Linked DNA regions of Saccharomyces cerevisiae S288C. Each later gene encodes a partner of the first gene's protein in a complex. Each region holds a gene or a part of one and is shown in the gene's direction. Other genes may lie near its edges. The genes, in order: RPN6 and RPN8.

Region 1 (3,731 bases):
TTCTGGTAACAATGGGTTACTGTTGTTCTCAACGTACCACAATGTTAAATCATGTCTACCGGAGGAGGCACAGGTAACTTCTTGTTGTTCGAACCCCCAAGCTGGCAACTTGACTTCGTGGGAAAACAAATAACAGCCTGTCATAGCATGTCTCAATCTAAACTTTGTGTCCAAAGCTATGACCCGTTCTTGGGCAACTCCAGGAGCAGAATTCTTTTTATCAATCTCAACAACCCAGTCATCATTAGCATCACCGTCGAATCCGCTGTAACCATAACAAGAAACCTCCTTCTGCCAGTCGCTGCTTTCTGAAACGGGTGGCTTATGGTCATGAGAGTGTAATCTACATCTTGTAACAGTGTGGAATAGTCTGACCTTGGTACCATCGGTTAGGTTTTGGAATGTTGTTAAAGATTCGCCGGGTGCGTTGTAAAGTTCCAACAACCAATCGTTATTGGCATCCATGTGAGGATATAAAGTGCTTTGTTGTTGTTCCGAACCAGCTGGATAATTGTGTGAATGAGAATGCAAATAACCGCCCATGGTAGAGAGATGACGCAAGCTGATAATGGAGCCAATGCCGACATCAGCAACGACATTTTGGGGGATCTTATTGTTCTTTAGTGTAGATCTAAATTCAGGCGAAAAGAAGCTTGCGCCATCCCCGTCCAAAGTTAATGATTGGAAGTGGATATAAAAGAAGACCAGATAAAGGGCAAAAGGCACACCCAACAAGAAGGCCAATTTGGCAAATGCTACTTTGAAGATGGACTTGGAAGACTTAGTCAAATCCCCAATCATGAACCATAGTCTCCAGATACATAAAAGACCCACCCATGTAACCGTGAAAAGACCAACCCATTTGGATGAAGATGCCATACCAAGAGCAATACCAGTAGCAAGCAAGGACTTGTAAGCATTGAGCGAGTTGGCAGGGTACATTTCGTATTTCTTGAAAGAGTAGACTGCAGCTGCAATGAAAAACATCAATGGGGCGTCCAACAGAATGTAACGAGAAATAGTGACGTACGAGTTTTCAACGGCAAAGCAGATAGCGCTCATCAAAGCAACCCACATACGAACACCAGAATAACGTAAAGTCATGTACATCAAAATAACAGTAAGAGCCCCCAAAGAAGCAGAGAAAAATCTCATCAACACGTATGGCGTCGTAGATGGAAAGCTGTCACCAATATTTTCGAAGTCAAAATCACCCTGGAACCCACCAAGCGATGCCACACCAGCATACAACATCTTTGCAAGAGGAGGATGCACATCCATGAAGTAAGTCCCCCTAATGTATTGCGAGGCAAACCCACCGAAATGTACTTCATCAAACACCACGCTGTCAGGCCATGCCAAGCCATGCAATCTAATGACCGCTGTAAAGACAGCAAGACAGGCCACTAACAGCTTCTCTTTAAGAGTGACCATGGTTCGTAACGAGGCCAATTCGGCACTCGGATCGGTAACAATAAAGGGTCTTACGGGGCCCTGCTTGATATCCAGTTCGGGCACGGGATCATCCTGCTCTACACGTTTGTACGTTTTCTCTTCCGACATGACCGTGCTTGTAGCTGTTAGCTGTTTCTTGATAGGCTCTTCTGATACTACCTCGCTTTAACAATGCACCTGTTTGTCTTGTTTTGCTGCTCGAAAATAATCAAGATCTGCTTAGAAACGCCAAACTCTTCTTCGACACGTGTCGAGAAAAAAAACGCAGCGAAAAAAAAAAAAAAGGTATATCATCACAATATACGATATAAATGGGCAGGGCAACCCCGAATGATGTATATTCTCTTCTGGTTCCAAGGGTGGCAAATGTTGGTAGAAAGCGTAATTGAAGCAAAGATCCGTTAAATAAGGCCAACTAACAGAAGCGCTGAAAGAGGACAATTGGTGATTAATCTATAAACGAGGAACTTCATGTCTCTGCCAGGTTCGAAATTAGAAGAGGCCAGGAGACTGGTTAATGAAAAACAGTATAATGAGGCAGAACAAGTCTATTTGAGCCTGCTGGATAAAGACAGCTCACAGAGCAGCGCCGCTGCCGGTGCCAGTGTGGATGACAAGCGTAGAAATGAACAGGAGACAAGCATATTGGAATTAGGACAGTTATACGTGACTATGGGTGCAAAGGACAAATTGCGCGAGTTTATTCCTCATTCTACGGAGTATATGATGCAATTTGCCAAATCCAAAACGGTAAAGGTATTGAAAACGTTGATTGAAAAATTCGAGCAAGTGCCGGACTCCTTGGACGATCAGATCTTTGTGTGCGAGAAAAGCATCGAATTTGCCAAGAGAGAAAAAAGGGTGTTTTTGAAGCATTCACTCTCGATCAAATTGGCCACCTTACATTATCAAAAGAAACAGTACAAGGACTCATTAGCATTGATTAACGATCTTTTGAGGGAGTTCAAAAAGCTGGACGACAAGCCCTCTTTGGTTGATGTACATCTATTGGAAAGTAAAGTTTACCATAAACTGAGGAATCTAGCCAAGTCCAAGGCCTCGTTGACTGCAGCAAGGACGGCCGCTAACTCCATATACTGTCCTACACAAACAGTTGCGGAGCTGGACTTGATGAGTGGTATCCTGCACTGTGAAGATAAAGACTACAAAACTGCATTTTCGTATTTCTTCGAAAGTTTTGAAAGCTACCACAATTTGACTACGCATAATTCCTACGAAAAGGCATGTCAAGTGTTGAAATACATGCTATTGTCTAAGATCATGCTGAACCTTATTGATGACGTAAAAAACATCCTAAACGCAAAATACACAAAGGAAACGTACCAGTCCCGAGGCATTGATGCCATGAAAGCTGTCGCTGAGGCTTATAACAACAGATCGCTTTTAGACTTCAACACGGCGCTAAAGCAATACGAGAAGGAACTAATGGGCGATGAACTAACAAGATCCCATTTCAATGCATTATACGACACGTTATTAGAGTCCAATTTGTGTAAGATTATTGAGCCATTTGAATGTGTGGAAATATCCCACATTTCCAAAATAATCGGTCTGGATACTCAACAAGTTGAAGGAAAGCTCTCCCAAATGATACTAGATAAGATATTCTACGGTGTTCTGGATCAAGGTAATGGTTGGCTTTACGTTTACGAAACTCCGAATCAGGATGCCACGTACGACTCTGCATTGGAATTAGTCGGGCAACTAAATAAAGTCGTCGATCAACTATTTGAAAAGGCAAGTGTCTTGTATTAGGTTTACATGTATATATATGTATGTATACTCACAAGTACCAGAGTAAGAATTCCTAAATAAACTTATAAAATGCAGAAAATACATAAGTATGATTTTTCTTTTTTTTCTCCTAAGAAAGGAAGAAGTTTAATCGAATGCGCCGCTAAATAGAAAACAGTTGATGCGAAAGTTCATCAAAACCAGAAGTTCCTACAAGCCTTAGCTGACAAAAATTCGAGAAAGCTAATGTCGAATTTTGGCAGAAGAACTTGGGATAGAGAGGAGTATGCTGAGCAGGCTAGAAGCGGCTATGACGATCGATCCTTAAAGGCTACGCTAACACCGATTGAATTACAAGCTTTAAAATCCAAATATACAAATTACGATCATTTAATCAAGGGCTCGCTAAAAGACCTAAATAAAAGGAAACTAACAGCAAATACAGAGAGCTTATCGTCTTTCAAGAGGGGAAAGAAGTTCGGATTTTACTGCGATATTTGTAACCTAACCTTCAAAGACAC
Region 2 (3,696 bases), on another chromosome or scaffold:
AAAACTTCATCAATATAGAGTAGCAAACCATTTTTACAACATTTTATATCACGATCTGCGCAAAAACCTTAGAATCCCCGCACAGCTGCCCAATGACAGATATAGGCAACGTTGTTGGTGCTAATCATTTTTAACTTGTTCTTTTTCCTCCTAGAAACCCATTGACAGTTTGCTGGTTATTTTTTTCTTCTTCCGCTTTTGCTGTCGCCGCGAATGAGTGAAGGCTGGTCAACCTGGTTAATTAGTAGCGCTGGCTTTCAGGGTACGAAAGCAATCATGTTCAGACATAGGGTTCTGTCCTTTGCAGCTGATTTGCAACTCGGCCAGCAATTCAAGAACATTTCGTAGTAAGCTGCTTTCAATTATATGCATATATACTCTGTATACAATTTTCAATTTTGAATTAAGTTCCACGGCTGAACGAGAAAAAGATACCTGAACACGCTACCTAACAAAATCCATTCCTTGTTTCTCTTCCCACTCCTTCAGCGCATTTTCCCACTCATCTTCTTCATTCACATCAACAGCTTTATTTTGCAATTCTTGTTCTTTTAACAACGCCGTACGTTTTTCTTCTTCTTCTTTATCATACTTCTCTTTATTGTCTATCCACCTGTCTTGAATGTCGTAATTCGCTATTAATGCACCTTCTCGCGAAGCCTCAGCCCACACGGTATCACCACCAACTTCGGATGCGCCGAATATGTAGCCATTTGCTTTATCTATAACACCTTGAAGATTTATCATACTTTCTTTGTCATCCACGGACAAAACCTCAAATGATACTAAGTTGAAATCTGAGACTAGCTCTTTGATTGTTTCAGTTAACTTGCTATATTTCTTTCCCAGTACACTAGAGCCTTCCTTTTCAATATATGGCTCCAAATAATCCAGATCCTGGACCTCTGTATAATAGTCTAATCTAAAGGGTAATTCTCCGTATGATTTCAGCATATCTATTTTAGAAAAAACGTTGATGTGAGGGAGATCCATCATTAACATAGACCTCAATGCAAGTAACAAAATCGAGATATATTGTGAAGGGGATGTCATGTAAAAACAGTCAATCAAATTTACAACACAAAACCTAATGTCCAATTCCTTTTCCATTTTTTTAAAGATGTTGAACAAAGATGAGTGATGAGTAAATAGCTCCACTTGGCCCGGACAGTCGAATACAAGATATGCTTTTTCTTCTTCTACAAGTGACTTGATCTGTAAAATGAACAAATCAATAGAATTATCCAATGATTCAACAGCATACATCAAACCTCCATTAGGGCCTAACTGTTGCTCTTGCATGATCTCCTCTAATGTTATAAAATCACGAATATCCACAGCGCATGGGTAAGGTAAGGCATCATTAGCAGGATCCATATTCACTACCTGGGAATGTCTTCCGATGGCATTGAAGAACTGTGAGCAGCCGTTGCAATAGGTTGACTTCCCTGAACCTGGTGGACCAATAACAATCTGAGCGAAGGGCATTATTGTACTCTCTAGTAGAAAATCAAAACTATTGACACAACAACAATCAAATGAAAACAAACCATTCTATTACGGTAAGTAGTGAAGACTCACAATGCAATCTTTCAATGAGCATCACTTACTTTAAGTAGCAATATTCCTAATCACTTATTACGAAATTTGATTTTACTAAAGTTCGGGGATACCTCAGTGGCAAATCGTTACTCAAGTTGCACGTAACGTAGAATCTACAATGAAATAATTGTGAAGCCAACAGCTAAGCAATCTATAGTGTAACGTTGGCTTTCTGTACAACTGCTACTGATTGAGGGCATTTTTCGAATTTAAAAAAAGAAAGAAAGAAAGGAAAATCAAATTACAATGTCTCTACAACACGAGAAAGTTACCATTGCACCACTAGTTTTGCTATCTGCTTTGGATCATTATGAGCGTACGCAGACAAAAGAAAACAAAAGATGCGTTGGTGTCATCTTAGGTGATGCTAACAGTTCCACTATCAGAGTCACTAATTCCTTTGCCTTACCGTTTGAAGAAGATGAGAAAAACTCTGACGTGTGGTTTTTAGACCATAATTATATTGAAAACATGAATGAAATGTGTAAAAAGATTAATGCCAAGGAAAAACTCATTGGATGGTATCATAGTGGTCCTAAATTAAGGGCTTCTGACCTCAAGATTAATGAGCTGTTTAAAAAATATACTCAGAATAATCCGCTATTATTAATTGTTGATGTCAAACAACAAGGTGTTGGTTTACCAACAGATGCATATGTCGCGATTGAGCAAGTTAAGGATGATGGTACGTCTACAGAAAAGACGTTTCTTCATTTGCCTTGTACTATTGAGGCCGAAGAAGCTGAAGAAATTGGTGTAGAACACTTATTGAGAGACGTACGTGATCAAGCAGCAGGTGGCTTATCTATCCGGTTGACCAACCAATTAAAATCTTTGAAAGGATTACAAAGCAAACTAAAAGACGTTGTCGAGTACTTAGACAAAGTCATTAATAAGGAATTACCGATAAACCACACTATATTGGGCAAGCTACAAGATGTTTTCAACCTTTTACCAAATCTGGGAACACCTGATGATGACGAAATAGATGTGGAGAATCATGACAGAATTAATATTTCAAATAACTTACAAAAGGCTTTAACTGTGAAAACTAATGATGAATTAATGGTTATATATATAAGCAATTTGGTTAGGTCAATTATCGCGTTTGATGATTTGATTGAAAACAAAATTCAAAATAAAAAAATTCAAGAACAAAGAGTAAAGGACAAACAATCAAAAGTCTCTGATGACAGTGAGAGTGAGAGTGGTGACAAAGAAGCAACTGCGCCATTGATCCAACGAAAGAACAAGAAAAATTAATTCAAAAATTAACATAACATAATATATGAAATAGATGTGTAAAACGCTATGTATTAATACAACATGTTAATTTGCTTAAGCATAATTATGTTCTGTTGAATTTCAAATATAAATGCATAATATCGCCTCTATTCTCGTCCACTTACTTACTTGGTCTCTATTAAAGAGACTGAAGGAATATACATAAGTTTATATTAACGCTCAAATAATCCGTCATCTTCGTACTCGTACTCGTCGGTATATTCACTATCATCAGAATCTTCATCGCTTCTATCATCACTGTCAGTTTCTTCGGCGATTTCACTTTCTCCAGCAATAACACTATCATCATATATTAACTCGTCCTCCTCATCTTCATCCAAATAAACGTTGGCCAGTGTTTCACCTTTAAAGTTATTTTTAGGCTCCACAACATAATGGCCTTCGATATAACAATTGCTGAGTTTACACTTTGAACCGATTTTTGCCATAGGTCCAATAATACAATTTTCCAGGATTACTTCGTCACCAAGATGGACTCCAGGAAATAAGAGAGACCCTGCAACACGACATCTGGAACCAATATTGGCCTGAGTACCGAGAACAGACATCTTGACATTACTATGAGCAGAGATTTGGCATTTGGGATCTACTATGGCATCAGCACCGATAGCGGCAGATTGAATCTGTATATTTTTCGTGAACATCGTTTGTGATTTTATCTTTAGTACAAATCTATTAGCGTCCATGTAAGCATTCAAGTTATTGGCTCTGATGAACAAGGTTTCGTTTGGTAAAATAAAAATACCTATTGGTTCCCTCGGTTTCGAATGTTGCCACGAACGACGAGAT

The links.
Region 2: the proteins of RPN6 (region 1) and RPN8 are in contact, whole or in part, in a cryo-EM structure (PDB 3J47), measured with the Saccharomyces cerevisiae proteins. Residues at the interface, in NP_010186.1 of Saccharomyces cerevisiae: Thr408 (codon at 3,148), Ala412 (codon at 3,160), Leu415 (codon at 3,169), Val416 (codon at 3,172), Leu419 (codon at 3,181), Asn420 (codon at 3,184), Val422 (codon at 3,190), Val423 (codon at 3,193), Leu426 (codon at 3,202), Phe427 (codon at 3,205), Lys429 (codon at 3,211), Ala430 (codon at 3,214); in NP_014904.3 of Saccharomyces cerevisiae: Val275 (codon at 2,671), Ile278 (codon at 2,680), Val282 (codon at 2,692), Arg283 (codon at 2,695), Ile285 (codon at 2,701), Ile286 (codon at 2,704), Asp289 (codon at 2,713), Ile292 (codon at 2,722), Glu293 (codon at 2,725), Ile296 (codon at 2,734), Gln297 (codon at 2,737), Lys299 (codon at 2,743), Lys300 (codon at 2,746).

Annotation. Positions count from the first base shown.
Region 1 is NC_001136.10:284,891-288,621, reverse strand, and holds RPN6 (proteasome regulatory particle lid subunit RPN6), read left to right. Parts: upstream 1-1,926; coding exon 1,927-3,231; downstream 3,232-3,731. Other genes in the region: dolichyl-phosphate-mannose-protein mannosyltransferase PMT1, read right to left, coding at 1-1,563; U4/U6-U5 snRNP complex subunit SNU23, read left to right, coding at 3,457-3,731. UniProt on the Saccharomyces cerevisiae protein: Component of the lid subcomplex of the 26S proteasome, a multiprotein complex involved in the ATP-dependent degradation of ubiquitinated proteins. In the complex, RPN6 is required for proteasome assembly.
Region 2 is NC_001147.6:815,084-818,779, reverse strand, and holds RPN8 (proteasome regulatory particle lid subunit RPN8), read left to right. Parts: upstream 1-1,848; coding exon 1,849-2,865; downstream 2,866-3,696. Other genes in the region: GTPase GPN2, read right to left, coding at 445-1,488; GCD1 (translation initiation factor eIF2B subunit gamma), read right to left, coding at 3,060-3,696. UniProt on the Saccharomyces cerevisiae protein: Acts as a regulatory subunit of the 26S proteasome which is involved in the ATP-dependent degradation of ubiquitinated proteins.